Drosophila melanogaster: one gene and its partner. The protein of the gene in region 2 purifies or fractionates together with the protein of the main gene of each other region. This does not show direct contact. Each region holds a gene or a part of one and is shown on either strand. Other genes may lie near its edges. The genes, in order: Rsph3 and cmb.

Region 1 (15,195 bases), 6.7 Mb from region 2:
ATTTCCATTGCCTCCACCAAGTAGTCCTCCCTATGATGTACGATATATACGATATATGGAGGTATAAGAATGGCTCATATATTCCTGCACCCACCTAATGATGTGCTCCACGCGAATCCTCGCCCTTTCCGTTTTGCCCGTGGCCAAATAGTCGGCTATTTCCTTCCTGGACTTTTGCGTCAGCTCCGCCTTCTTCTTCTCCAGCAATTTCAGGCGATTGAGAGCCAATCGAAGATTGGTCTTCAGTTTGTTGTAATTGGGGCCGCTGGAAAACATCTTCACTACACCCTGGACTTCCGAATTAGTTGTGAAAACAAGGAAATTCGGTCAGTGGTGATTCATTAATTCGGTATGGAAAAAACAATGTGACGTCACGTGCAGTGTGACCGTACATGCAGACCCCTTAAATACCAAGGTAACATTGAAATTTCAAATTGCTTGGCTCTATTAATATTTTAATTTAATTTAACAACCGTTTAAAATATTTTCTAAAATGTTTTGTTCGGCTTATTTTGTTGAGCTTTATTGGTTGAATTTTCGGTAACACAAAAACCTTTAACAAGTATCCAGTTTACAATATGCCATTCCATTTTTTCGATGCCATTTCGCCGCCGCCGCTATGCAATTGTGTTTGGCGCCCAGGCTCGATTCGAATCCTGCGGCGAATTGAGTTCTTCACCAGACACAACCACAAAGTTGCAGCCAACCTTGATTTAATAGCAGGAGTGTGTTAGTGTTACATGTGTGCGGAATCAGTATCCCACTCGAAATATATATATGAACTAAAACTCGAACGCAATCACTTAGAGATGAGGAGCCGGTGGTGGCGGTTCGGGGCACTCCTCCATTTCCGTTTCCGATTCGCAGGGACACGCCTCCATCTCATCGATGGCACAGCCCTCCTCCTCACAAACGCCCGCATCCGGTCCGGATGGTTCCGATTCAGGTTCCTTGTAGCCGGCATAGATCTCGGCACGCTGCTTGATAATCTCCTGAATGATGGCGGTGAGAATCTCGCGCGAGTCCACTATATGGCCCACTTCCTCGGCCACCTCGGCGGACAACCACGGGCAGACGCTCTTCATAAGCTGCTCCTTCTTAACGGCATCGCTGGCCGGCTCAATGTTCTCCAGCACCTCCGGCACCAGACTGGCAATGTGTCCCTGGAGCAACTTGGCCGCCGTCACGCTCTTCTGCATCTCAGCGTCCAGCTCCTTGGCAATCGCATCTTGTCGCAGGCGACGCTCCTTCTCCGCCTGCAAGCGCAGCTCCTCAGCCTCCAAACGGCGCAGCTCGGCCAGTTCCGCCTCCCTCTGGGCCAGGAATCTGTGGGTAACACAAAACGCCATTATAGTAATCTGAAGATTTACTTTACACTTTTTATACGTACTCTTCCTGTTTGCGTCGCAGACTGGACAGTTCCATCTCGTGAGCCACCTCCAGCATGCTTTGTTCAATGCAGGCGTCCACCAGGACATCGATGATTGGCTGCGCCTCGGCATCGAAGTGGAAGAGTTCGCCCTCACCGATCTCGGTGGCCACATCCACGCCCACCTTGGCCGGTATGAACGGAGGCGTCGGCGGCTTCTCGAGGAACAGGTCCGTCTGCGTGTCGATGGTGAACTCCGGCGGACGCTGCACCAACTTCTCCAGATACTTCTCCGTCTGTATGGTCTCGTGCTTCCGCCCCTTGACCGGCGGCGGTGTGCCCAGGACATTTCTCTGATTGCGGCACTGCATCGTCCGTTTGCGCAACATATTGCGACGCCTCAATTCGGCGGCCTTGTCGAAGGGATCCACATCCGTCTGGAGAGGAAGCAAAAAGTGGATTAGTCGTAGGTCAGGGCTGCCAGAGCACTGAGCTAAGCTGAGCTGAACTGATGGGACTTACCACCAGAGAGGCGTTGCCGAAGTTGCTGCCCTTTATGACGCGACGGTCGTACATGACGTTCTTGTAGGGTTCCGGCGGCGGGACGACGGGTCTGCAAGAGGAGCAAAGTGGAGAAGCGGGCATGGAGTTGCCCAGGTGGGAGCCACCAATTAGTAAGCCTCGACCCAGTTCAACAAACTGCTCATGCAGCAAAAAAGCTGCAGACTTTTTGAAAAGGTTCGTAAATGTGCAACTTAAAAGGATTACTACATAAATGGTTAAGTTCTCTAATAAATATGATATCTATGTATGGATAAATATTGTAATTGCTGCTGGAAAAGCAAGTTAAAAGTGTATGAGTTTTAGTTATCTTTAGATTTGTTAACTTCTTTCTATTAAAGTTTAAATATTTTATTTATTTAGTTTTGATTTGCTGCAGTTTCAGTGCACTTTGCTGCATTTGCCAAGACCCAAATCTGTTGCACTATCAAGGCGATAAACATCAAATTTGTTCATTTCCCAACGCCCTCGCAGACTGCTTGTCAGGTCATCTCCGATTCGAATCAATTTCGCCAAAGTTCAGTACACTTTTGGGTCAGAGTTTAAAGCCTGCTTAAAGTTCCACGAGTCCAGTCCGCGGTGGCTGAGTAATTTATGACTTGCTAATTTATATGTATAGCACCGGCAAGTAAATGGGGAAACAAACATTTCTTACATTTCTACATATATGCTGATACATACATGCTGACTGCGAGTAGAAGTAGTATATAACGTAGTTAGACATTGCACTAGAAGAACTTGGCACCTGAACTCGTGACCTATGCAAATTCGCAGCTACTTTTGGCCCACAAACAGGAAGTCACATTGAAGTTGCTGGCGAATGTCTAACAACATTTCTCTGGGTCTGGGTCTGCGCACCACAGACATCAGCAAATGGAACGGGAAACCCTTAGTGCGATGTCCTTATGAGGGATATATGGTCTGAACGAAAATCTAAGTTGGTGAATCCTTTTTGAGTTATAAAATAGTTATCTCCCTAATAGGTTCTTTATTTAAACGTTGAGTGTGATATTTCATTTTTCGTAACCCAAAAAGTATAGCCCATTTGGCCGAACAACATCCCATTTGGGTAAAAACGACCGGCAGGACCTGTTTTTTGTTTTTTTTTTTTTTTTTATTATTGTGCCATAGGTGTCCTTCTTCTCTGGTGTGGTAATTGAACTTAATATCCCTCCATTTGTGCTTTGGTACAATGGGTACATATTGTTGTTGTTTACGAAATCTTGATTTAAATTATTTAAGCCCCGAGCTGGGAATATAGAATATTCTCCGCTGGCACGACACATTCGAGGGTCCTTTGTCCCTTTGTCCATTTGTCCATTTGTTCGCATGTTCTTTTATGCAAGGCAAACGAGTTTTCCCATTCGAGAATGCGCTAAATAAATTAATCAAACCGTTCAGGGAATTTACAATGTCCGAATGTTATTGGAAAAGCATTTCTAATTGAATTGTTAAAGAGTTAATTGTGAAAGTGGGTGAGCCACACAAGAAACTTGGCTGATGAAGAGCCTTCCATTCTATTTGCGTGTCATAGTAAAGTCTAAAAACAGATCAATAAGGTATCATCTTGAATCTATATCAGTTTAGATAACAAATCCTTGAAGGATTCAATTCGGCACTTTAAACCACAAAACCTATTTGTAATTGAATTGTTTGGGTGTCAATCGATAATGGCCGTAGGAACTGAAGTGGGGAGCTAAGTTCTGGTTCCATTGCAGAATGGCAGTGTAGGTACGTACGTATTACTCATTTGAATTTATGGTAATATATTTTGGCCCACTTTGCCTTGGTCAGTTGTCGGACCTTTTCCACTTCCCACCTTTTTTTTTTTTACTTCCAAGTTTAGCACCCATACCATTTTGGGGGTTGGTCTTTTTATTACCTCTTGTCGCTGATGTTGCTGCTGCTGTTGTTGTTGTTGTTGCTGGTGGAGCGACGCTGTTGCAGTTGTTGTTGGAACTGAGCCTTGGTGATGTGGAGTCCACCGGCGAGGGATTGCGTATCGTTACGGGAGGATTTGGAGGCCGCAGCTGTGGCCGCCGCCACTGCCGCCGTGGCACGCAAACCGTTCAGCCGGGTGGCGGTCACCTTCTGCTCCTTGCTCTCACTGCCGGTCTCCTTGGTGAGATACCCTTGGAGGATCATGGGATATGAGGAGTAGGCGTAGACATGCCTCCTCAGCATGGTGGCCGGTATCATTTGGACCTCATGCGGAGGCGGCAGGAAGATGCCCTGCGGCACTGTGGTCTCGAATCGTGGTCGCTGCGACATCGCTGGATCCATCCAGGCACCGGAATTGGCGCTCTGGCGACCGCCGTAGTTCTGCTCCTCCGGCGCCAGGAAGCGCAGCTTCTGGCTCAGCTCATCGGCGAAGCTGCGCACCTCCTGGTTGCTGCGCGAGAAGTGCGATCGCTGTGGAGGATTCCCTACATGATTATCACGGTTATCAGCTATGCCCGCCTCACGTCTAATCGGACGCACGATGGCCTGTTGGGGTCGCGTTGGATAGGAATCGAATTCGGGCTCCTCGGAGGGCTGATGGCGCAGCACCGAGAATGCGTTGGTCACCACGTGCTGGAAATTGTAGGGACTCTGATAGCGCTGGACGTTGAAGCCGCCGGCGTTGTAGTTGGTGGAGCTGTAGTTGGTGTTCGAATTGGAGCTGGACGAGACGCGTCCTGGTGCGTAGGGATAGCTGCTGGCGAAGGAGAAGTTCTGCACGCGATTCGGTCTATTGTCGGTGAGGTGCTCCAGTTCTGGCACTGGCTGTGGATCTGGCTTAAGTTCAGGATGTGAGTGTGCTGGGTGCTGCTGCTGCTCCGTCTCTGGCATGGTCTCCGCTACCGTCTCGGTTATCCCTGCTCCCGGCCGCCGGTCACCTCGTTCATTATAAATAGCCACCACACGGTTCTCTCACCCGCCGCACCGAAAAACTTAATCAATACTTTTCCTATATTTTTCCCTTTTGTGCGCCGCTCAGGTGTTGCGTTCGTTGGTTGATTGTTTGATTTTGTCGCGGAACACGTACCGCACGGCTCGAATGGCAAACGCCAAATGACCAAAGGACTCGCAGGACTCGTGGAACTCGCGCTCGGACCCGGTTTCGACTTTGGATTCGGCCCGTGGTCAGCAGTCGTCGTGCAGTTGGAAAAATATGTGGAACATATAGTCTCCTACTGCCCACGACTAAAGCTTTCCAGGAATTGAGCTGTTACTTCAAAGGACATTTTTAGTAAAAATATCCTTAAAGTGCTGCAATTGGTTTATATAGAAAATTGCATATTTAAACTATTCATGTTGCTGTTTCATAAGTTTAAATAACAATACTTCGCGTGCGTGCCACAATGTAAGTTTCTATACTATATACACATATTTTTCAAATTTTTTTCTGAGTGTATCGCTTGCTTCGCAGTTTGAGGCACATGATGGGCAGGTGTTGCAATAATAATGCGAACTGTTAACAGTCGGTGGCATTGGCATGGCCAAATCCACGTTCCCAGGAATTCTACTTTGCATAAGAGCTTTTTCTTTTCCATCCAAGTAGTTTCGTTGGGGTCTCCAATTAAAGGTTTCGCCCGGCGGAGGGACCTTGAATTTGTTTCGATGGTGTCCACATTTCCTTTCACATTGTCGGAGATGACTTCACGCATTTCCCTGCCTGACATTGAAAAAGGAGGTGGGTGGCTCTCTATTACTTGGAACACCTCCTAGGTATTGTCAATGGCCAAGGTCAATTGCTTGGACTGCCTGATAAGCGGAATTCAACAGGGAACTAAGCATAATTAAGTAGATTTCTTGGCACTCCAAGGAGTCACTCTTTTTTACTGGCAATGAAGAAAGGTCAGTGAATAGATGAAAGATTATTGTAACAGGAATTGGTAAGAATGTATCAGAAGTCCAAAAGCTTTTGGTAAAGCCTGTTGTTAAAAAAGGTAATTTTCTTTCACTCAATCATACTTCTATATGATTAAATTCGTTGGCTGACCTAAAGCACGGTATTCTTATCCTAATTTGAACATATACAGTTCAGAATTGATGTACTAATATATTCGAATAAATGATAAGATATAAGATATACCACACTGTAGTATTTATTCGATTTTTAGCTTGAGAGAAGAATGAGCACTTTACTACAACTGGATTTAGATACACTATAGTTTATTGGGTTTTTATCATATTTGGGGATCATCCTTATTCCCTGGTTGACCTTAATCCGACCCAAGTCCAGCCCCCGTCATTATCGGTAGTCAGATATATTTGTATATTTTTATGATACTAGTGCGTCAATTTCTACAATAGTTTTAAGCACTCATCGACTTCCACACTCCTCATAATTTCCTGTCCTGTGCACTCCTTCTATTGTTTCCCTTCAGAACACGAATGTTTCTATTCAAAATCGTACCAAGTTTGCGTGTCCTTTAGTGGGGCCATTGTATTGACCATCAGCCGAACACGGCCAGCGTTTAATAATTTATTTACGCAATTTATGACTTTCGTTTTTGGTCTTGGGTTCCATTGACCCCAGTGGGGAGACATATAAAGGTGTAGAAAATTCCCCTGCAAGGCGTTACAAAAAGCAATGGTTTTGCAACTATAGGATACTCATTACAAGAGGAGTAATACCCATGATAATTAACTCGAGCTTACAATTTCTAATGGTTCATATTTGTAGCGTATAAATGATTTCTTAACTACTTATTGAATTATTATATATTATATAAATTACAAAGAAAGTAAGAAAGTTGATTAATATTATAATATAATTTTACGAAATATTCAATATACCCTACTTGTCGGACTTAAATTACAGGGAATTACAGGGAAGCATGGGAAATTCTTTGGGTGGCTTCTGTTTGATACTTACTTGGGGCAACCTTTGATTTTGATCGGCTTGGGATGGCTGGCCCACCAAAATGCCTGTTTGCATGGTGGCGCTGGACAAGGATTCTCGTGCCACTTGAGCTGCATCTCGGTGACCTCGGTTCCCTTGATGCCGGAACTGAGGAAATCCATTCCTGAGCTTTTGCCACCACCATTGGGTTTGTAATCCCTCTTCGGGATCGTCGGCATTGCTAACTATTGCTATGTTGCGTTATTGAGGTTTTTAAAAACTTAAAATATATATATCGGATAAAGGTCTACCGCTTGCCAAATTTATGTGTACAAAATAGATTTATTTATGTGACACATTTTCACTGGAGTTCTTTGTCCTATGTTTTTATCTCCATATTTAAAAAAATATTGTATTATCAAAAAATTTGTATCCAAAATAAACAACGACGGCGGAATTTCCTCAGTTGCCATGGGAATTGAAAGTCGGCATTGTTAAACTGTTGCTGTGTGGGGATGGGTCTTTGGCAATGCACTTTATTCGTATTAACACTCGATAGATTTTGTTCGTTTTTTGACTGAAAGTCTATCGAGACATTTGCAATTTTTCCTTCTAACTTTCGCTTAGCGAATGGTCACTACACATTCCCATATATTATACACAACTAACTATCATTCAGTATGAGGAATCTATTTTTATATCTTCCTAGCAAGGAGAAACTAATGCAAAGCAACTTTTTCTAAGGAGCTTTATTAGCTTTTAGCTGGACTTGACCAAATACCAATATAATTTATTTATTATTTATCATTATCATTTTATTATTACTGATTTATTATTCCAACTACATTGCATGCATTCTGCAGATACAGCTGCTGTTCGGGATTTTGATTCATAGATAGATTTTTAATTGACACTTTAAGCGCATCGTTAAATTTAAGCAGGATGGCAGAAAAATAATTATTTATGTTTTTTGTATAAATTTTACAATTTTTAAAATTATTCATTAAGGTCTAAAATGGTTAAAACATTTTACAAGTCCTAAGCAAAATAACTATATTTTTCTACATGACATTATACACTTACAATGTGAATATTTTTTTACAGTAAAATGTATATTATACATATGTATACTTTGTTTTACTTGTCAGCAAGCAGTAAACCCGAACCTAAATTGCAAGCAGTTTTCAATGCTACTATTTATTGGCTAATATTAAATAGTTTACAGTAACAAAGAAAAAAGTTTATAAAAAAATTTTATTTCAAAATTGTTATCATCGATTAGTGGTAAGTTTGCAGATAAATTACATTTTTGGTCTATTTGGTTGCACAATTGCCTTGGGGACATCAAAAAATCTCACTAATTCCTTGATATTAAAATGACTTTGAATTTTCTAAACTATTTATCACTAAGTTAAATCGCTTGCCATCAGTTAAAACGTTTCGATGTAGCCACGCCTGAATCGAATTTCCCTGGAACGTGTCATTTAATTAGGTTTTCAAGGCTTATCATATCTCGGACTATCGAACGTTTGTCATTTGAATTGACCCCCTTTTTCTGTTTCGAGTTACACAGAATCTTTTGTATGGTTCTGTCTATTCATTAACAAATAGTTCGAAGGACTTTGGTCTTCGGACTGGACAACAATGACGTGGCTGTCAACGATGACGTTTCGCTTTATGCGGGGGTGATAATTGCGTCCGAAGCGAACCCCTTGAAATTCCCGAAAATGCCTAATAAGATCACAGGAACAACAGTCCGCACTCGATAAGTGGCCATGACGTTTGACATTCGCTGTGGTCCTTTGGCCATTTAGTGAGTTCAAAGGTTAATGATGGCCACACAGGCGACAACTGGCGACTGAGATCTTGTCCCGCAATTTCCCGATCATTTGCTCAGATACGATACGGATTCTGCGAAGTCACCGGGCAAAGGCATCCCACTGAGTTTGTTGGCTTCTTGTCAAACAAATCATTTACTGCGGATACTCCTCGATATTCCTCAAGATACTATCCATTTCACTGTGTAGGTGTGAGCTGCAATTTTCCCTGGAAAAATTACGTCCAGCACGGGATTTGATTAATTTATTACCGCTTGTCGAAGGGAAAGTGATCTTCGGGTTCCTAACGGTTGCGGATCGTAAAAAACATTCGGCAGACACAATTGTTGAATTATCTGCGGGCTGCTGTTGTGGGCACTTTTTTATGAGTTATTTATGTGCGACTGTGGCGCCAACAGGATCATAAAATATGTAGTTATGGGTAAATCTGTGAAAATAAATGTAAGCGTAATCTGGAAAATATTGAGTGGCCTAGATTCACCACATTAGTCATTTCAAAGAAATTAAAGAAAACTAAAGTAGAAGTATAAAAATTTTAAATTGTAATGATTTAAATATATCAAATAATGCAAATTTTAAAAAATTAATTTGATTACTGCTTTATTAAAATTTTTATTTCATATTAATATGATTTATCGTGCATACGGAAATTAAACTGGATTATGGTAATGAAATTTATAAATAAATCAAATACAGAGTACTTGTAGTAATGTTAAAACAAAACTGAAAACTGATTGTTGATTAATTGCATGCCATATTTGAAGAAGTTATAGAAAGTAATTCATGGGTATAGAACTGTCTTAAATTGTCAGATAATATTTCTGTTGATAATCTACATGCTGGCCCTCTCCAGACCTTAACCGATAAACAAACTCAGGCAAATTAAAATAAATATAACCATTTTTCTCCTAATGACAAGCCCCATATATAAGCAATGCAAAACACGCAAACATTTTTGTAGCTTTTTCGGGGGTACAAGCTTGCATGACTGAAATATTTCCGAGTATTATTGATTGCTGACATTTGGAGCATAAATGGCTCTTTAACTTCCTCGTCGTTCTTCGCCTGACAAATGTGCGAGGTAAGTGAAAATGTCGTTTTTGTTGGTTTTAGTTAGTTTTAGTCAGACATTAGACATTGCCGCCCCTTACATTTCGCCATTCGGTTGACTTTTGTGCGTCTGATTTGCATTTTCGCTGGCGACTTGATAACAGCTAAATCCGTTTGCTTCCAAACGATCGCTTCCAACTACACGGCGGAATAATTCTAAAAAAAAAACCGAGCAAGCTTCTTTTTTTTTTTTCCTTACACACTGATACACACTTAAGGGGGAAATAGAAAATGAAATAAAAATATAAACGCGATCAGACGATCGTCAACAACAATGAGAATGAACAATATAAATGGTCGCATCGGAATTGCTAATTTGCTTTTCAGTTGGCTTGGGTTTGCCTTTTGCCTGCTTTTTGTTTTTATTTCTGTTTAAAATTTTGTTGGATTTTTTTTTTCCAACCAGGGTTCCTGGTACGCTTGACCCTCCCTTTTGGACCCCCAGTGGACCCCAGAATGGCCGTCCGATTGATTTTTGTGCGACATTTTTGACATGCGGATGTGCCATGTTAACGAGAAGGACAACTGTTCCCCCATTTTTCGCCTCGAGTACAGCTGCATTTTGGGTTCGCATTCTCGGGCAACCCGATCCGCAACAAATCCTTTTGCACATTTACAATAAATTGAATTCGACCAATGCTGTTTGCGGTCGAGGAGGAGGAGGAGGAGGAGGCTTGTCCCTACGTTTGCAGGGCAAGTGAAATGCTTGAAAACCGCAGGAAATTCGTCGAATTTGCCATGCGGTAAGCTGAACTGAACCGAACTGAACTGAGGCAAGTTTCAAATCCTGGGGGCAGCAAGGATTTCGGGAGCTGCGCCGAGTCCGAGTCCTTTGTGTGCGTTGGCGTATGCATAATTGATGCGAATGTTTGCGGCAGTGCTCGGGCTTAGGAGCCCGAAACCAAAAACCATTCCTCATAATTGAGTCGCCCTCTCGAGCGAGGAATAGTTTCTTACCCTTTTCAACAGAGAGGGTCAGAAAAAAAATATAGCAAACTTCATTGGCTGCAGCTGAGATTTTTTGTTTGTCTGTCAGTTGGAAAATGAAATGCAGTTGGAAAAGCCGCAATTTTTCAATTACAAGCTGTAAAGTTGCTCTGACAGAGTTGTGATTCTCACTTTGGCCAATAAATATGCAGATGATTAGAGTCTAGCGATTAGAAGCGTTAGAGAATCAAGAATTTAAAATACAAAATTTATTCACCTGGTAGTTTGTTTTATCTCTGCTTGCAATAAAGGTTTCACCTTCCCACACACACACACATAAATAAAATAGGGATGTTATGACTCGAAGAACCGTTAGGCGCCACCTGTATCAGCCTCCTGTTTCAAGGATAATAACAATATGTCCAGGATAAAGATCTTCCTGCTGGGCACACTTTCACTCTCTCTCTCTCTTCACTTTCCAGACAGATTTCAACGGAATTTACCTGTTACACACGTGCAAAACTCTCCGATTTTACCTAGAAAAATTGTAAACAACATTGTTTTTGGGCATCGATCGTAATCGATCTTTTGGGTGCTGGCTTGTTTTGCCTCATAACTCAATTAGTCAGAAAATTTCCAAGGACTACGTGTGGTGTTAAAAATCCGAAGATCTTTATTAGCTGAGCATAATCTGTTGTGGCCACACTACAAGGCAATTGGAAGATGACTTCCGTTTTTCCTGGAAGCGATCCGTAAGGTGTGGAAATCGCTCTTCCTGTTGCGACTTCATCGGGAACAAGTGTTAAGGATGCGCGTGACCGGGACTCGGAAATTTGGTCACGTAGCGGGTTAAGAAATTTCCAAAGGGTTCAACACATTAAGCCTGAAGAATAACTTTTACAGTTAAAGGTTTAACGGAGATGTTTTATATAAAATTAAGATTGATTGATATGGTTAATCACAATAAATAGTTTTGTAACTTATTAATAATGTTATTCAACTTTTACAACCCAATTTCTTACAACAGCCGGAAGTTTCTACGCCAATCATCATCAAATCCCATATTCATAGAACAATTTCATGCTATTCGCCAGCTATTCGAAACCCACACTTCTGATTTATCCTCTTATGACTTAACGATTGCCTACAAATTGGTATTTAATGGCTCACCCCTCTCGTCTTATGAGCAATACTATTCCAATATCGGGCTATGCGATCTCACTTCATCAAACTTTCAACAGTCATCCACTTCACTGGCTATCCATTGTTTATTGTCAACATATTCGCCTCGCCATTGAAGGAGCATATTCCACAAAAGACATTTTGTGGGCTCATAAAAATCGAGAAAACTATGAAAGAAATTAACCAATCAATGGAATTTTACAGACTTTTTTTCATTGTTTTTCATGGGTGGCGCTGCGTGGGGCTCTCAACGAATCAGACCTGATTCATAATATTGAACAGCTTTACGTAGTTCCTTGTAGGGTTTTATTGGTCTTATTTATTATTTGTTTTAGGGGGGGGGGGTTATGAATCGATAAAAAGCAACTCGTTTTTAATTATTGAAAATACTTCTTATATATTTTTAATGGCTGGTGGTAGCTGGGCGTGCTCGAAAATGGTTAGACAAGTTCATAAAACGAAACCCCCCCCCACCATTTGCCGGAATAAAATTCGAGAATATTTATTACACTTTTTCGTTGGCCGTTTGCTGGCAAACAAAAGGCTGCACACAGGAAGTTTGGATGGGTCTAAAAAAAAGGAGGAAAAACAAACCATATATCAATGAAGTTGTCCTCGAACGTGTGTCCAGGATGCGTTTAAAAAAGAAATCCCTTCCGCTCGCGCCGCGTTTTTCGATTTCTTTCGCTGGCCAAATGAGCTGGACTTCCGTTGCAACGCGTGCGGCTGGGCCACGCCCCCTTGGCCGCCCCGAATTGCAGTTGATATATCTATCGTTAGATACAATGTTGCAGCTGTATAGAGTATATACATATAGCTATCTGACTGAACAGAAAACTATGCTAATCGTTGGTATGCCAAATCGAGTCAAGAACTCGTCTAACCAAGGCGACGCCATTTGCAGTTTCACACTTTTTTATTCGAACCAATTTTTATGGGCAGCCGTGCCAAATTTGTAAAAATGCGCCAAAGAGACAGAGACAAGTGTAAAGGCAACTGCCCAGCTCATCGTGGTTATACATAGTTATAGTTGTCGCTTGCCACCGCTTCAGGTTGTTGTCTTGCATAATGGCCAATAGACCTGGCCAGCTAGCTAGCTCGCTGTCTCCATAATTTGTGCAATAAATCAAATGAATTTCACTCAGAAAAACAATCGAGAAACCGAGAAACTATCAGCGAGGAGATGGAGGACTGACTTCAAGGCAAGCCAAGTCGAGTCAGGTAATAATTATTAACCAAAATGCCTTGGCAACAATCAAAAGACCAAAAAGCATATCAATAAAAGTCGCACACGCAAACAAGCGATTGACACGCAAAAACACATTTAAAATTGATTAGCCCGGTCAGGTTGAAACCGAAATCAGAAATCGAAAAATCCAAAAAGCCAAAAACACCAAATTCCTAATACCAATCTCTAATCTCAGCCTCTAGAAGACGTCTAGACGTCTATCCAAAACCCCCTGCTTATCGCGTGGTGTGACATTCGCCCGCGGTCCAAACTTCTCCCAAAATCTTCCTATATAACGCAACCACTTTAAGCGGCTTTATAATTTTAGCTGCGTGTGTGACGCGTGCTATATAGCCAGCAATCACAAAATTATATTTTAGTCAGTCATTTGGAACATTAGTTAAGAGCGAAGTCTTAGATGGGATGTACAGATTTAAAAGTAAAAGGTTTGATACTCTTAGAAAGAGAAAAGCTTGTACACAAGCTGGAATTTATTCGATTAATGATTGCAATTATTTGCCACTAAATATGAATTTAGTTCTAATGATCATAAAATATATTATAATAAAGTTATATATTTTTCATTGTATGAAGAACAGAAAGAATTAATACATTTTTATATTTCGATAAAATAAAAATCCCCCAAAGCTGTTTGCAGAGTATCCGGTAACATGAAAAACCTAAGGCTGTATCTTACTGATAAGCAAAAATGTTCAACATGCCGCGGGCTTTCCGAAAATACCAACATAAATGTATCGCATAGAATGTCTGCGCTTGAGTTTCACTCTCAATTTCTCGGGAGGATGGATGGATGGATGGATGCCGAAATGGACCGAATGCTGGCTGGATGGCTGGTTAGGTGTGGATTGAGGAGGGGGTCGTAATTATTGGGTCAGCGTGCGTCGCCATAACGGACGCATCAGGCAAACGAAAAAAGGCAAGGGCAAAACTAATTTCAGACAGCCAGGCCCTCTTGCGGGCAATTTCCAGTAAAAGCGAGTCAAACTTTTATAATACTCGCCATGGCATCCGCATTTGATTTATGAGCATTGATCAATTTGATGGATATTTTTGGCAAAACTGAGCCGATCGATCGGATCGATGTACCACCTTAAGGGCTTTCCAAAAAGTGCTTAAACCAATTTTTACTCAAAAAAATAAAATAAAATAAAATAAAAAACGACGAGAGAACAAAAACCGCCTAAAGAATCAGCAAGCTTAATTAAACGGAATCTCTTCCTGGGCTCTTCCGCTGTCCGCCCAAAAAGACCAACTCCACTGCCCTTTCTGTTCGACTCCTGTGTTTTCCGATGGAGCTTCAATGGTGGTCGTCGCCCCAGAGACACGATAAACGCGTACAATTGTTTGCACTTAAGATTTTTACACATGATTCAGTAGCCAAGAAGACCCGAGAGTCCCGAGATCCTGGCAGTCATGTCTGCATATGTTGCACTGCCACTCGAAATCGAAATCAGAGGCCTGGAGTTCGGGTTCAGGCCCGAAAAGACCCAGTAAGACCCAGACCCAGAACCACAACCAGAGCCAATGCCAAAGCCAGCCAGCCTTCATTCGGGGTCCGTTCTATCAGATGCAATATTTGCTAACGAATAAATTGGCATTTCACAAGTTGCCCCTGACAGACGGTCGGTCTGTGCCACCAAACTGGTTGTTCGTCTCGTCTCATCTCGTCTCCTCAATCCTGAATCCATCCAGGACGGAATCCGGGCCCAACATGCATTGCAATCATTTTTGTTGAATCTAAAATTGACGCATCTCGGCTATGACTTCGTCATTCTTCTTCAGCTCAAGCTTCAGCTTCAGCTGCATGCCACTGGAATCAGAATCAGAAACTGAAACAGAAACGGAGGGCAGCCGAGGAGCCCTAAGTTGGCCCAACTACCGTGTTACGCGATGCTGGCTAAAATGGCCAGCGCGTCGCGCATTTTTCGACGACATCTGAATCTGATTAGAGCCAGAAGGCAGCTCGTCCTCCCTCTTCGTCCTCGTCCGTCCATCGCTCCAACTTGACATTGGATGACGGGCGGCCTCCACACAACCACTGCACCACCATGGCACCACTGAGCCACCGGAGGCACCGCTGCAGGCCCAATTCGCAGGAACAGACAACGAGGGATCCTCCATTATGTAC
Region 2 (16,002 bases):
CAGGTAGAGAGTGCTTTCAGTGCGGTCTAAAATCCCTATATACATAGGGATACTTACATACATACATACTCATGTATGTAAATAGATGAAGGAGCAATTTTGCGGGTAATTTGCGTTCCGTCGAGGGACATCCTCTCCACAGCACGCATAATCTCTTGGCCCCGTTTCGCCGCTAATCAGCAGTATTAGTTTTATATATATTGGGGGGTACTTAACTATTTAAATTTAAGTGCGTGAGCGTCGGTGACGTGGCTGATAACACCGTTCGTATTGCGGGCCAAAAATAAAATCGTAATGTGCAAAAACCGCCAAGTTTGGGCGCCGCCCAAAGGCCGTCTAATCCACGACTAATGCGCATTCTGGCCACGAGCATCAATCATCCATCATTTTGCGTTTGCCGAATGCAATTCCAAAAAGCCACACGCAAAGCACTCAAGTTGCTAGACAGACAGCTAAGACGTAGTGCGCAAAATAATAGCAACTAAATTATTGATAATCGACCAACATTTATGGAGCAGTTATTTAAGTAACACAAAGTTGCTAACAATTGGAAAACAAATTATGGTGACCTGGAATATCAGGTATTCTTCAGCCCATTTTTAAAATGAAATCAAAACGAACTGTTAGGGAAAGTAAGCTAATAAGATATTTGGCTGATTTTTTTTAGAATACAATTTGCAAGGTATCTCTTATATTGATAACGTGTTAGAGATTAAAATGCTTTTTAAAAATCAGTTCTTTTTAACAAAACTATGTTTTAAGTTAGTGAATATATCATATATCTTCTCAAAATATCTACGACCCTTTTAAAACAATTGAAATGCCATACTTCTGCATAACACTTAATTTTGATGAGTTGAGAAGGTATTCAATGATTTTCATGCAATGAGTGCTACTTTTTCGACCCCGACTGTGCCCAGAGGCGACTGTCGATTTGGCGTTGAGTGTGGTCAGTGACGGCGGGGCAGCGAGGTGCAAGAGAAAAGCGCGCCTAACAGCAGCAACAGCAGTGGGCCAATGACGCCTCCCACCGGCCGCCGCAGCTCCCCTCGACGCCCCACCCACTCGGGGGCGATCGCAATTTGACAGTGCTTATGACGGCGCAGCCTCTGTCGCCACAAAGAAGTACGCGCTGGCATGCAGCGAATGCAAGTGCGAGTGCAACTGCGAGTGCAGCGCCACGCGACTGACTCATTTCGGGGCTTGCCATGCAGCAGCAACAACTGTGCGAAATTTAAATAAATTGTGGAAAAATGCATTGCTCTGTGCGAGTTTGGCATTGTTTCCCCAACTGGCTTTTCGGCTTTCGGGTTTCGGTTCACACACCAATTGTTGTTGCTGCCCCTCATTTTTTTTTTATGACGCTTATCAGTTTTCAGTTTCGCAGGCCGAATTTATGTAAATCTTACAGCCAGTGATGGTATTTTAATTGCGTAAGAACTGTCATACGCACTGTTGGCGTTTGTTGATTTTGATTCTCTTTTTTTGGAGGGTATATGCGCTGCAGTCTATGGTTTGTAATGCATTGAAGGGAACTTTCACCGGAAGTGTCTATTATAGCCTATATCAGTTAAATAGCTATCAACATAAGACTCTATCAATCACTTTGGTTTATTTTTAAGCAGATTAGATTTGAAAATTTGTCTGATTGGAACTGTGTGTTTAGAGTCACAGAGTCTGATTGGCAAATTAAGACATCAATTTATTTATTTAAGCATAATTTTTTATGTTTCAGTTAAGTTAAACATTCTTTAATCGTTAGGGTGTGTAAACTTCGACGTTTGCAAGTATTTGCTTCAAAAGAGCATCGTACTTACTCTTTCACAGCCGCTTCATTGGCGTCCGACTGCTAATTGGACTGCAATTGGATTTAGTAATTCCGAAGACCGATATTTATAGGCCACGGAGTTTGCGTTCTTTTTTGTTTGCGCCCAGCTTCGCGAAGCGTGGCTACCAAAAATAATTGTTAGCTCTATTAAGACCTATTGGCTGGGTAGATCCAATTCACGCGGCACTTGGAAAGTTTGGTCACGTTCTCCTGGCAAAATGAAACAAACGCAGTGCCGCTGCAAAACTAGATATTCTCCGTCATTTGCGATTCCTGCATTAATGAAGCACTCGCTGTGCGGCGCGCGAATGTGCGATAATTTATTAGTGCCACATTTGCGACACAGATTTCGATTTCGGACCGCCGCCGGTGGCCACCAAGTCAATTCAATTTCCTCACGCGCACACCGCCTGACCCCTTTTGGCCACAAATAATAATGCCGGGCCTATGTCAGTCTATAAGTCTATCAGCACCAAATTTCGCCAAATCCCGTGGCCCATCGACACGATCCATTTAGCCACCCATCCATCCATCCGTCATCCGCCACCTGTTGCTCGAATCGCACCAGCTGAACTTCGAATCCGCGCGAATGTCGGGCATGCAAAAGAGGTGACGACCCTGATCCTCCTCTGAGTCGCTGGTGAAATCAATTGTATTTCACAAAACAAATAGAGCACCGACCGTATTCGAAAACAATTTGTTTCTATCACAAACACTCGACACGCGTCGTCTTGTTTGCATTCCAGTCCGCTCCACTTCCTATCCGACTGTCCGCAGCTTCGCGCGCGTCTTGAAAGTCCCGCACTCGCAAACACACTCGCGTCCAGTGGGACCGCGCCGAAAGCGCTGGAAAATACCAAGCGACTTGCAAATAAATACCACAGTTCTCAACACCATTGCAGTTTCAGAAAATACCACTTATATTTCTATACCACCAAATTCAAATTAATTATTAAAAGCAAAATCAAAATCAAAATGCACGCTAGACAACCTCTATAAGATAGATAGTAAGATCTTTCTTTTCTTAGCATTTTTGCATTTCACCGACGCGAATTTGACCCTTATCGATTTTTTCGGAATACCTTGCTTACTTACTTTAAAAACGTAACAAAAATTACAATAATAAATGTTTCAATTTAATTTGTGTATAATATATTATTTATTTAATACGTCATTTGGTGAAACTAATTAAATTCACTGCAGCACTTCAGTTTAACTTTCACTGAAAACCAGAACCCCACATTACACTGCGCTGATAAGGTCCACTCTAGCGGAAAATGCGTTAGTGCGTGTTGTTTACCGGCATGTCCGAGGTCGAAAGAGCTCTGGATGTTCTGCTCCAGGAAGCGGAGGAGCTGTGCATCGGGAGCAGCGTAGTGGAGCTGGACAGGATTCCAACCGCCTTGGAGTTTTGTCGGGAATTCTACTCCAAAAACCAGCCGGTGGTCATTCGCAAGGCACTCAATTGGCCCGCGATTGGCAAATGGACGCCAAAGTACCTGATCGAGGCTCTCGGGGACAGGAGCGTGGATGTGGCAATCACCCCGAATGGCTATGCCGACGGCTTGGCCACTCAAAATGGACAGGAGTACTTCGTTTTGCCGCTGGAGACGAAAATGAAGCTGTCCGAGGTGGTCCGCCGCCTGGATGATCCCACTGGTGCTGTCCACTACATACAAAAGCAGAACTCTAACCTCAGTGTGGACCTACCGGAACTGGCTGCTGATCTGCGGGTCAGTGATCTCGACTTTGCGCAGCAGTCCTTTAACAAACCGCCTGATGCTGTTAACTTTTGGCTGGGCGACGAGCGCGCCGTTACCTCCATGCACAAGGATCCATACGAGAACGTGTACTGCGTGATATCCGGTCACAAGGACTTCGTTCTCATCCCGCCGCACCAGCTTAGCTGCGTACCGCGAGGAATTTACCCTACAGGCGTTTACAAGACCTCAGATAGTGGTCAGTTCTACATTGAACCGTTGAGGGATGAGGAAGGCAGCGATCAGTTCACAGAATGGGTCAGCGTTGATCCCTTGTCACCCGACCTGGCCAAATATCCGGAGTACGCCCGGGCCAAGCCTCTGAAAGTACGTGTTCACGCGGGAGACATCCTATACCTGCCCAACTACTGGTTCCACCATGTGTCCCAAAGCCACAAGTGCATCGCCGTGAACTTCTGGTACGATCTGGACTACGATAGCCGGTACTGCTACTACCGCATGCTGGAGCAGATGACGTCCGCAAGGAGTGGCTAATAGAATCCGGAGAAGTATTTATTCTCAGGGATTGTTAGGTGAATTCAAAACCCTTCTTGTTTTCAGTGTATTTATATATATTATTGTTACATAATTTAGTGTTAAATAAAAAACTGATACCCAAAATGAGTTGCGAACTACGACTAAGGACACGACCATAAAAGATTTATCTTTTCCGAAATTCGTAAATGAAATATGAAATATCCGTACAGATGATGACTTCTTAAATAAGGAATGTTTGCTTTGTTGGGTTATTCTCTAGTCTATTCGAGACTGACGTCCTGTTTTTCTGCGCCGGAAGGCTCCGCTGCAGCCTGTCCATCTGCCTCCTCGTCGGGATTTTCGTTGTTCTCGCACTCCAGTTCGCCATTTCCCGCGGAGGAGACGTTCTTTTGGTCCGCCTCGGCCAAGTCTGCATCGTTATTCGAGTCCTGCGACTGGGATTGGGACTGTTTGCGCACACGCTGGTTCTTCAGCTTGGCCGGACTGGCTCCAGAAGGTGTCACCTTCGACTTGGTCTTGCAGCTATCCTGCGGCTGTTCCACCACAAACAGCTGCTCCAAATAAGAACGGTACCAAAGCAGGAACTCGTCCCGCTGTCGTGGTATGTCCATCTTCTTGATCTTGGCATATATGCGTTTGGGCGAAATTAGTGGCGAGCTGGCGGTCGAATTCTGGGCAGCAGTGGCCGTCAGCTTTGATACCTCTGCCAGTAGGGAGTCATTGATGACGGTGTTGTTGTGCGTCTGATTGCGAATGCGTTTGATAATGTACTCGATTAGTTCGTGATCCGGTGCCAGTTCTATGCTGGTCCCTGGTCCTGATCCCGAGCCAGAGGCTTGTTCTAGTTTTCCCTCGAGGATTTGCTGGTAAGGAAGACGCAATTATGAGTTAATCGATCCAGTTTACGAAAGCCTTTCTTACCTCTTCGTTCTCGGTCCTAAGAGAAGAGATAACAGCAGAAGCACTGTCCTCCATTTCATCCAGGTGCTGCCCGTTCTGTGGATTGGACAAACTTAGCTGCTTCACTGGCGTTCCTTTTTCGTCCTCGGGCCGATCGTTGTCTAGCTGCAGACGCATTACCTCTAGCGGGGTTTCACTGCGACTCTCGGTGGCCTCGGCGTCGCCAGTAGGTTCGTTCTCCTCCTGGTTAAGAGCCTTTCGCAAGCCGTGTGGTTCATGTGAGTGCTGCAGCTGCTGATTTTGTTGCTGTTGTTGTTGCTGCTGCTGCTGCTGCTGCTCGAAGAGTGTCTCCAGCCGGCGGTAGACATCCTCCTTGATTGATTCATAAAACTTTGTGGTGAACTTGTCGTTCTTCAGAGCGTTAACCAGCAGATTTCGATTCAGTTCCTCGGAGGCCGTTTCCTCGGTTTGCTCCATGGCATTTGATTCGTCCGCGGGCGATGCTTCTTGTCCGAGCGTAGGAGTAGTGTCCACTGGAGTAATCTGGGGTAGCTCGATGTAGTCCATGTAGTGAGCTGGAAGTTCGAAGTCGAAACGAAGATGTCGCTGCTGCAGAGGAGTAAGCGACACAGTCGAAGTGGTGGGCTTTGCTGGTACCTTGTTCCGCTGATACAGCGGACTGTTGCCATAGTTTACGTTCATGTTGAGATTGGAGGAGCTAGCCTGCTCGGACTCATCATCCCGCAGCGTGGAAAGCTGAGGACGGCGACGATTGCGACGTCGACCCGAGCCGAATATGACGTTATCATGGTTCTCCTCCACCTCGTCCACATCCTCATCGTCGTGGTCGCGAATGTGGCCTGCATCATCGCGCCAGTCCCTTTTTCTGCCCGAACTGCCGCTGTTGTTGAGATTATTGCTGCCATTGGAGCTGCTGCCATGCAAAGCGGTTAGTGGCGCCTCGAAAAAGTGACGACGCTGCTGCTGGTGGGTCAAACCACCACGCGTAGTAGGCGGAAGCAACTGGGGCGGCTGAAAGTAGCTGGGACGTGCCCGTTGTCGCCGATACTGCTGGAGGTCCACGTTCAGCTCCTCGTTGCTTTTATTTGATAAGAGATTTTGGCGCGAATGGCTGGAAGAGCGTACAGATATTAATGGGTTAATGCAAGCGGGTAGCAAAGAATCATGCAGTTGATAAACTAGCTAAATCTAGTGAGCGTTACTAAGTTAAGTTTTTCTATTCCATATATCCTTTTTAAATTGAATACACATCTTTTATAAATTAGCTTTGTTTACTGCCGAATAGGCACTTGCAAAACTTGGTCAGTACTTGGAGTTAGTCTTGGTTAGTCACTTTCAACTCTGTTAATGGGACACTTATCTGCAACGCGTGGTCGCACTTACCGGTGCACAGAATTGAAAATTAACTCTTCACAATAGTTTTATTTAATTTTTATTGCTTTTGACCCTTTTCCATCAAACAACCATTAATAAATCCAACACCAAAGTTATAAAGCATTACCTGCGGAAGTTGTCCCAGTAGTTGTTGGCTCTGTTTCCGGGTGGTACTTGATTGTTCAATGTAATACCGCCACCAGGTGCTCCTCCACCAGCTGCTCCCTCGGGCAGCGAGTGCAGATTGTTGGCATGCTGGTTCTGGGTTCGCAGATTCGAGTTGTTCTGATGTATCGTGTTGTTATGGTGGTTCATGAAGATGGGACCTGGACTTGAGCGGTAAGTAGGCGGCGACAGGGGTGTCTCGTTGTTGAAGTGCGTCGGCGGTGGCGGGGGAGCAGCATTGTTAAGGAACGGCTGCGCCTGATGCTGCTGCTGTTGATGATGATGCGATTCTGCCCCGCTACGATGACAGCTGCGCTGATAGTTACTAAAGGCGCTCTGGTGGGCACCAAAGTTAAATAGCTGCTCAGATTGAGCTCGACTGCTGCCCAGGCACAGATTGTTGGGCATCTGACCCATTCCAGGGCCCACCGGAGGCGGTACTGATTCCGAGCGCAAGCCGAAGCTGTGATCCTGGCATGCTACAACATTAAATCGATCCTGGAGCTGTGAAAAAACACTTGAATTAGTCTTTGATTAGGCTCTCTAATCTCATGGATTGTCTTACCGCATGTAGCTGGTGGTTGAGGTTGTCGATTTCGCGCTGTTGATGCCACAGTGCCTGGTTGCACTGGCACACAGAGTTGATAAGCATTTGCTGCGTCTGCATGAACTGCTGCAGCAGAACTGCGTCGGTAGAGGCATTCGATCCGGATCCATTTGAGGAGCCCCCTTGTTGGGCGGCTGGCAGCTTTTTAAACTCTGTGCCGGCACTGGAGCTCGGCTGACCGTAGACGGGCTGCTGTCCATGCCACGAACTTCCAGAGTTGTGTGATGCTGCTAGCGGATGCATAAAAATAAGCGTAAAACGAGGAAACTAATACATGAATTCAAGTTGGTAAAGTAAAGTTGGTAAATTTCCGCCTTTGTTGGTGGAATTAAAAACGTACCCCACATTCCAGGCACTGGTTGCATGGGGGGCGGCATGTACTGCGATCTATTGCTGCTGGATGGTATGCTGTCATTACCCAGGGATAGCGTATCAAGTGTCACATTCAGGTCATCTTCGTTTAGCGTCGACGGAGGAGCAGGCGGCGGTGGTGGTGGTGCCTGCTGTGGGGGAACGTTAGGTTGCTGACCTCGTCGTTGCTCCACCACTGTGTTGGCGGATGGAGCCCTCTTTAGGGTCGCTGAGGAAGCGGTACGTACGTTGGCGAAGTACTTATCGCTGTCAGTGTCGTCGTTTGCCTCGTCATCCGCCTCCGATGTGGTGTTGTTACTGGCTACGTAACGCTGCTCCAGTTCCCGCTGCTTCTGCTCGTATTCCGTTCGCAGGCGCTCGCACTGCGAGCGCAGTTCATCGCGCAGTTGTTCCTTGGTGGGCGTAGCCTGAAGAGAATTATCCACTTCGGATGGATCCTCTTCCTCGGTCATCCGCTGTCTCATGGGGGTGGGTGTTGGGGTAAGACTGCTTCTTTTAAGTGCATCATCGCCCATTTGAACAGCGGCGGCCGCCTGTTGTTTGCGTCGCTCAATCTCTGCCTTCAGGGCTAGGATACGGTCACGCTCCTTTTGCAAGCTTGCTGCTTCCGCTCTCAGTTCGCTCGTAACATCGTTCAGAGCGAATACGCGCTGGGCAATCTCGGCCGGCAATTCGCGCTCCACGCTAGTTCTTTCCTCACTACGCCGCTCTAAGGTGGAGCCCATGCTGGGAGTACTTTCTTCAATCTGGCTAACAGTGTACAGCATTCCCTTTAGTCTCGCCATCTGAGCCTTGAGTGCTTCTATATCTGCCGTCTTCTGGTTGATCATTGCCTGTGCGTGAAGTGCCCGTTGAGCAGCGTTGGCCGCCTCCTGGCGTATGATGGGTACGTTTCTCTGATACTCCACAGGAACAACACGCTCCTTGGGAGCCGCTGGGGCAGCCTCCTCTGGCTTGGGAGGAGGCGTGGGAGTCTCCTCTTTCTCTTTGATGACTCTAGCAGTCTCCCTGGCCGCACGGTTGATGCTGTTTAGTTCGTCCACCAGATTGCGCATATCCTCACGTTGGGTGCGCAGTGATTCCAGTTTCTCCTGCAGGGCTTCCTGCTCGGCCAGGATCTCGGGCCCATCATCGCCAAGCACCGTGCTCAGTTCGTTCTGGTTGTGTATAAAGGCGGTGAGATTCTTCATGCGCCCCACCAGCGACGCCATGTCGTCCTGTACCTGCTGCACGGACTCGTATTTGGGGGCCTCTCCCCCATTGACATTGTGGGGTAAGCTATCGGCTTGCTGGCGCAGCCGCTCCATCTCGTTAAGGTGAGTCTTGGCCAAATTTTGGATTTGTAACAGCTTCGCCTGTTCGTCGTGCAGGTGCTGCATGTTCCTATTGGAGGCTTCCAAGCGCTGCTGCAACTCATCGAAGCTGGGCGTGGTATCGGGCGTGGGCGTTTCCAAGACGCTGTGTAGGGACTGAATGGATTGGGCGCGGTTGTCGCTCATCTGAAAGGTACAAATGGTTTGAGTACTAGAAGGCAGACTTTTGGTTTTATTAACCAACTAACCTCGCTTAATGCAACATCCTCCAAGCTGGTCGAATTGACTACGCCTTCACCCTGATCCGAATTTGGGTTGATTTCGTGCACCATGTTGTTCGTCTGGGGCAAGAATTAAAGGATTTAGTTTCATTTATTATTACGATATAAAAAATGTTATTATCAATCTTATAAATGTTATAAATGTACGGCTCACTTGAAGTTCCTGACACAAGCTTTCAAACTCACCTCTACAACTTTCCTACTCGGTTGATATCTGCTATTCAGGTTCTCGTCTAATCCTAGCAGGGCGCGTAACACGTCAACCTGCGAGCGAAAACCTTCGGTTCTGGGAGCAAAATGGTGTACACCAAGAAGTCGGTGAACGAGTTGTTGCAGTCCAGCGGGGGTCAGTGGCGGTGCCTGCTCCTCGTTGCCACTCAAATTGCCGTTTCCGTTGCTGGTAGTTGCGTTCGGTATGACCACACCTACTGTGGCATTCGGAGGCGTCGATTGACGCAAACGCAGCAAAGCCGTCGAAGATGAGGGGGCGCCTGTGCTATTAGCTGACGAGGATGGCTGGTGCTGAACCCTCTGGACAGGACGGACGGGGAATCGATAGCGCTGCTGCTGTTCCTGCAGTTGCTCTGTAATGGAAAATAGCCAAAGATCAGTATGGATGTTTAGGTCCATTGCTAAATACTGCGCTGCGAACTACATCATCTCAGTGGGCGTTTATTTTCGTGCGCATCTTATTTATAGAACATGAACTGGCGCACCGATCTCTGTGTGGGCCAGGCCGATCACTTTGCCAGGTGCGGATATTGGAAATTGCTCAATTAAATGTGTATATTCCTCAACGGTTTCAGGACCCATTACCTGCTGTATCGTAGTTGCCGTGTTCGGCGGCCAACTGACGCAGTGCCTCGCGCTGCTGTTGCTGTTGTGCAGGCGACCTGTGATCCTTGCTAGACAGATGCTGCTCCGCCGGCGATCGATTCTTGGCGTTGGTGATGCGTGCTCGCTGGAGGAGATCCTTTAAGCAACAGTAAATGAAGATTAGCAGGAAAACCAGCACGAGGATTGCGGTAATTTTGCTGATTTTAGGTCTATATATATATATCTATTTCAGATATATATATATATATGTATAAGGGCGCTGCTCTGGCCGATCGAAATTCGTTGTCCGCAGTGGTTGAGTTCGCATTCGCTACTGAGCCAGCGGCTAACGAATTTCCGCAGGTCGCGATGAGTGTAAAGTGTATTTATAAAACCAAGAAGAGAAAGGTCTTGGTGTCTTCTCTTCGAGAAGATTTGCCATGGCAACCAGACGTCCGTCTAACTTACATTCAGAGTTTTCAGCGTCTCCCGCTGCAGCGTCTCTGGCTCGACAAGTTCCATGTCCGGTTCGCCCAGGTGCTCCTGCTGCCGGCGAGAGCGGGCCGACCGGCTGGATGTCACAGATGCACTCGACCCGGACGTGGGTGCTCCGTTTACAGGCGTTTGTTGTTTAGGCACCGCACCGGTTGCCCCGCCCACCGAGTTGTTGTTGCTGCTGCCATTGCTGCGGGCGCTGGCGTTGGCTTGGTCCACAACTACCTTGGGCGGCGGCGCCATTAGAAAATATATATATATATATTTGCGTACAAAAAACGACGCTACAAAATTGAAAAAACTCCTCTTTTTTGTACTCCCACTTTGTTTTTTTGCTTTGCGCACTCTGACAGCTGTTCCCAACCAGGGCTGGAAGCTAGTTAACAAGCCTACCAAGTTATGGTCACACTGGCAGCGGACGTTTTTTGAAATCGAATGTTTTCTAAAATTCAAAAATAAATATTATTTTTAGTTTAAAATAAAATGTATATCTGTAAAAAGTATTTTAAATGCTTTTGGTGTAGATAAACTAACGTTACTTGGTAATTTGATATCTTTTAAGGATAATTATTTATTTGGAGATTACTTTATAATATGTTCCTTGGATAATAAACATTATATGACTAGAGCCATTTTCCCTTTCAAGTTTGGACGTGCCTACTTTCCCTGCTTGCGCTGGATGATGTCCTCCTTGAGCGCACGAATCCGATCCCTCTCCGCCCGGAGTCCCACCGCTTGACCGCGTAGATCACTGGTGAAGTCCGTGAACATGTTAAGCATGGAATTCAGGAGCTCGGCGTTATCGGGAGCACTCGACGAGGTCGATGGATTCTCTTCTTGGGCACTCTCTACGGCCTCGCTGGCCACTCGGACTTCTGACGAGGTGGTCTGCCTGCTGGTCTGAACGGAGGTGGAGCTCTGGACCTGTACCGTTTGCCTGGAGGACATGTGCTCCTCGATCATCTTGGTGGTGTCCACCATGTTCTGCACGCGCTTAAACTGCGCCTTCAGGTTGGCGATCTCGTTTAGCTTCTCCTGCAGATAACTGGCCTGCTCCTCTTTGTCCTCCCCGCCCTCTTCCTCACCAGATGGTGCCTCTTCCCGGTTTGTGAACTCTCCAGAAGCACTGGCGGATGAAGCAACTGTTACTGTCTCCGATGAGGATTCAACGTGGGACTGAACCTCCTCCTCCTCGGTGGACTGCCGCACTTGTCGGCGCTGGGCATTCAGAAGGGTCAGCTCAGCGGCTCGTAAGCGCAGTGTCTCCATCTCCTCAAGCAACTGGCGGTGCTCCTCCTGCATCTCTTGCAGCTGTCTGTTGGAAGCAGCTAGGCGCTTAAAAAATACAAATAATTAGTTTTGAAAGCTTCAATAATGAAAAAATTGGTTTAAAAACATCATAGTTCAAAGACTACATTAGGGCATCAAAAGAAAAATGATTTTGTATATTATTATTAAAAAACTCTATTTTTTAGCTCACTGGTATAGAAAAAGCTTCGTACTTAAATTTCATTTCAACTGAAACATCTAGAGACTGTAGGCTTATTGGTGTGACTCATTCATTTTGTTGTCTAAAAAGAATGTGTCACGGTATTTATTTAACTTTACTGACTGTGTTTTCTTATTGTTTTAAAACACTTAAATACTAAGAGTTTTGCAATTTCCCGAAGACTCCAGCTTACCTCGCTCAAGGCGGCATTGTCCCCATTTTGAGGCCTATTCAGTTCGTTGACCATTTTCTGGGTTCCTGAGGAGAAGAGGGAATACTTGGTGTTATGTATATCGTGCACGTTGATTATTTTCTCAATACAAACAAAGGCCCATCGCAAGGCACTGTCTATAAATAAATGGCTCTTTGTTAAATTATTTTTCAGTTAGAATAGTGTCAGTCATCTTGGCATTTTTGAAGACAAAACTAACAAGTGCACTTATGAAAATGTACACCACAATACACCACATATATTATACTTGAAAATGCTACCTTTTAATCGTATATTCGAATCCTCCGAGCGATGAGCTGTGCGCACAAAGAGATGCCCAAATTTCAACTGAAACGATGTGCCGAAAACGAAAATATTTTGAATCGTTTTCGTGTTCGTGTAGAGTTTTTAGAAACAGCCGACAAGCTTTTCCACATTAATATGAAAGTCTACAAAGGAAACTTTTTTTATGTTTAGAAAAGGAAGGTAACAATTAAATTGAAAACATGCTTAAAACATTTTTTCGTTGTAATTGTAACAGAAGCATTTTCAAAAAAAAATTTAAATTAATTCATAAAAATATAGTTATAAATATAAACCCCTGTGTTAAAGTAAATGTACATCAATTGCATGATGATTTAGGTGAACCTGCTGTGAATATGGTGATCCAAATTTAGACTTCCAAGAGTCATCGCCTTTCCCACCAATTCATTTGCCAGTTGTTTGCAATGTTTACATCGATATAGTGATAAGATAATCTGAGGCTTGAACCTTATAAAGGTACATTTTCACAAGGGAAGAGATTCAGTTGAATAAAAATCTGACAATGAGTGGAGGTGTGCGGTTCAGAAGTTGGAATACAAAACTATTATAATTTTTCTGTTTTGCAGAAGTAATATGGTACTTTATCTGCATATTTTGCGGTGTTTTTGGAGCAAGACCCAAAGACTTGGACGTTTCTGGAACAACAGATAGCACCCTAGAAACGGATTCAACTACTTCCGGTCTGGAATATGGTCTAATTACGGGCAACTTGAGTATCTGCGGAAATGTGGCAGATAATGTGTTTCTACCATTTGTGGGGGACTGTAATAGGTACTACCTTTGTCGCTGTGAGTTTGGAGCTTAAGATCTTTATATTTTGGAATCTTTATCATAATATGTTTATTTATAATATTTAGCTGGACAAGCCATAGAACTGCAATGCGAATGGCCTTATGAGTTCAATGCAAATACCCAAAGCTGTGTACATCCTGGTGACGCTGATTGTCTGCCCACCTGCGAGGCTTTCAATTTCAGCACCTTCAGTTACCAGAGAACCTGTACGAGGTACGTGCTGTGCTACTACGGAAAACCCGTTCTACGGCAATGCCAGGATGGCCTTCAATACAACTCTGCCACAGATCGCTGTGATTTCCCCCAAAATGTCGATTGCGTGGAGTCCGAGTGCTCCATCTACTCCAATGCGTATCATTTGCGCTATGTTCCCAGCAAGGTTTCCTGCCAGAAGTACTTCATCTGCGGCAACGGAATTCCCAGGGAGCAAACCTGCACTGCTGGCCTCCACTTTAGTACCAAATGCGATTGCTGCGATATTCCATCTAAGTCGGACTGTCAGGTGGGTTAAGAACAACAGTACACTCCTAAGGGAAATAGTTGCATAACCCTTTTATTTTTTAGATCCCAGCAGTGGAAAGAAAAGTGCAGCAACTTTCACGACTTTCACCCGTTACTACTGTAGGAATCTGCCCCCCATCCGGGGTCCATTTCTATGTCCATGAGTCTCGACGAGATGCCTATTACTATTGCGTGGATGGACATGGTCTGGTTCTGGATTGTTCGGCGGGTCTTTGGTACGACCCCACGGTTCAGGAGTGTCGTGAACCCCAGAATGTGGGCATGTAACATGGTTGATCTGAATAAAAATTGTTTTTGTGACAAAAGTACTAAAGATGTTTCGATTTTTAAATGATTAAGCTAATTCGTTGAAAATTTATTTAATATTTATTTATTACTTAGTCCACTTCAACTAAAGTTTTATGTCCGAATAGTATGATTTTAAAATAAAGTGGTTATTTGAATATGTATTCAAATAGCTTTTTAACGTAAATTTCCCTTGCAACAAGTTCAATCAATCAATTGGTAGGTTTAAGATGATTGTAAAAAATAAGTGGATGCCTTATTTAAGACCCATTAACATAATCTGTCAAGCTTTTCTTTTCATAGTACGAGTATTATAAAGGCATTCGTTTGTTTGAAATCGTATTGGATCTTTATTTCGAGTAACTAGAAGCCCACGAGGTGTGGTTCACGGCACTCCTCGCGCTTGGCATCGAACACCAGGCCGGGTGTGCAGTCCAAGGTGACTCCACGTCCATTCAGGCAGTAGTAGTACGCATCCTGACGCTTCTGGTGGGCAATAAAGTGGGCGCCCTCCGATGGACACTCAATGTCGGCGAGACGTGGCGGAGCTCGGGCAAAGGGCAGGATATTCCGTTGAAGGCTCTCCACCTGAATGAAATGAATAGGTTTTTATGTGGCTCCCAGAAAACTTCAGATAAAAAAAAACACGCACCGTGCAGTTGACTTTCGAGGGGAAATCGCAGCTCTGAGTGCTTGGATTGTACTGCAGGCCACTTGTGCAGTTCTGGACTTGAGGAAGACCATCCATGCAAATGTAGTACTTGTCACAGCGAGCCTTGCTGGGTATGAAAACGATGTCATCCGGATTATTATTCCGGCTGCACAGATTGTCCACGCAGTCGACATACTGCGGATAGTCACAGCGATCGGTCAGGGCGTTGTACTGCAGTCCATCGGAGCACTGACGGATCACCGGAGTGCCGTCGAAGCAGAGAACGTACTTGGTGCACGTGCGATCGTAACAGAACGATGACAAACCACGGTTCTTACAGGATCCAATACACTCGACCTCCATCAGGGGAACACACTCCTGATCCCTCGCATCGAAGTAGTAGTCCGTGGGGCATTCACGGGGTACAGCTATCTCATCTGGGATAGAAACATGATAATGCGGTGAACTAGATATCCACAGGTGCTGGTGACTTACTCATGCACAGGAAGTACTTGCTACAGTTGCCCACCTGGGGAACAAAGAGATTGTTGACCACATTGGAGCAGACATTGACATCGCCATCAGCAGCGCTACAGCTTCCAAGCAGGGCAACCAGTGCCAAAAGGGTCAGGCGACTTATCACTTTGGAAAATAAACCAAGTTAGATCATTTCGGTTCCATAGCTGCAATTCATACTCACTATTCAAGGTTGGTTTCCTGCGGTTACTATCGTCTTACCTCGAAAAACCCCTCCATTTATAGGCAAACTCACTTGCCATTCAATCTGCGATTTGTTTTGATTCCGTGCAAATTTCCAATCTTATCGGATGTGGATGCATGTTTCCATGTGGTAATTGGATTGTTCTTCCTCATTCAAATTCGTCTGGCGGAGATAAGTTCGGTGAACAAGAGCCAATATTCAGGAACATACACCTCTGTCAGCCATTAGGAAACACGTGTATTGATGAGTCACAGTTGATCATCGAACCACGGATCGCTCAAGATCCGATGTAATTGTTACAAGTGTTTGGAATATTTGGATAGGAAGCCCCATTACTTTGAAGATCTAGAAATTATTAAGTTGTAGTTTAGGTTTAAGATTTTCTTCAAGATATATGTATGTATATTTGTTGTACAGGAAGGAAATGCTCCTAGTTAATCCAAATAGAATGTATTATTCTATAAAATTATTTTTTATTTTATTTATTTTTCTTTTCATATCTTAATCGCTAGCGCAGTAATACTTTGAATGTTTAAACCACTCGTGCACTAAAGTGATAAAAAAAAAAACCACACG

What was found.
Region 1: the proteins of cmb (region 2) and Rsph3 purify together in Drosophila melanogaster (affinity purification with western blotting, with the first as the bait; one study listed by BioGRID). This does not show direct contact.

What each region holds. Positions count from the first base shown.
Region 1 is NT_037436.4:6,756,129-6,771,323, forward strand, and holds Rsph3 (radial spoke head protein 3), read right to left. Parts: upstream 4,987-15,195; 5' UTR 4,763-4,986; coding exon 3,813-4,762; intron 1,983-3,812; coding exon 1,892-1,982; intron 1,807-1,891; coding exon 1,391-1,806; intron 1,327-1,390; coding exon 804-1,326; 3' UTR 501-803; downstream 1-500. Other genes in the region: Ist1, read right to left, coding at 1-30, 95-276.
Region 2 is NT_037436.4:13,437,390-13,453,391, reverse strand, and holds cmb (combover), read right to left. Parts: upstream 10,799-16,002; 5' UTR 10,674-10,798; coding exon 10,404-10,673; intron 10,274-10,403; exon of another isoform or gene 10,093-10,273; coding exon 9,936-10,092; intron 9,704-9,935; coding exon 9,306-9,703; intron 9,180-9,305; coding exon 9,087-9,179; intron 9,025-9,086; coding exon 7,494-9,024; intron 7,384-7,493; coding exon of another isoform or gene 7,381-7,383; coding exon 7,112-7,380; intron 7,051-7,111; coding exon 6,509-7,050; coding exon of another isoform or gene 6,505-6,508; exon of another isoform or gene 6,431-6,504; intron 6,119-6,430; coding exon 5,008-6,118; intron 4,950-5,007; coding exon 4,347-4,949; 3' UTR 4,147-4,346; downstream 1-4,146. Other genes in the region: JMJD7 (jumonji domain containing 7), read left to right, coding at 3,133-4,083; CG14109 (uncharacterized protein), read right to left, coding at 11,088-11,765, 12,113-12,166; CG10140 (uncharacterized protein), read left to right, coding at 12,957-12,966, 13,021-13,242, 13,312-13,748, 13,811-14,035; CG10725 (uncharacterized protein), read right to left, coding at 14,417-14,641, 14,706-15,142, 15,201-15,347, 15,406-15,406.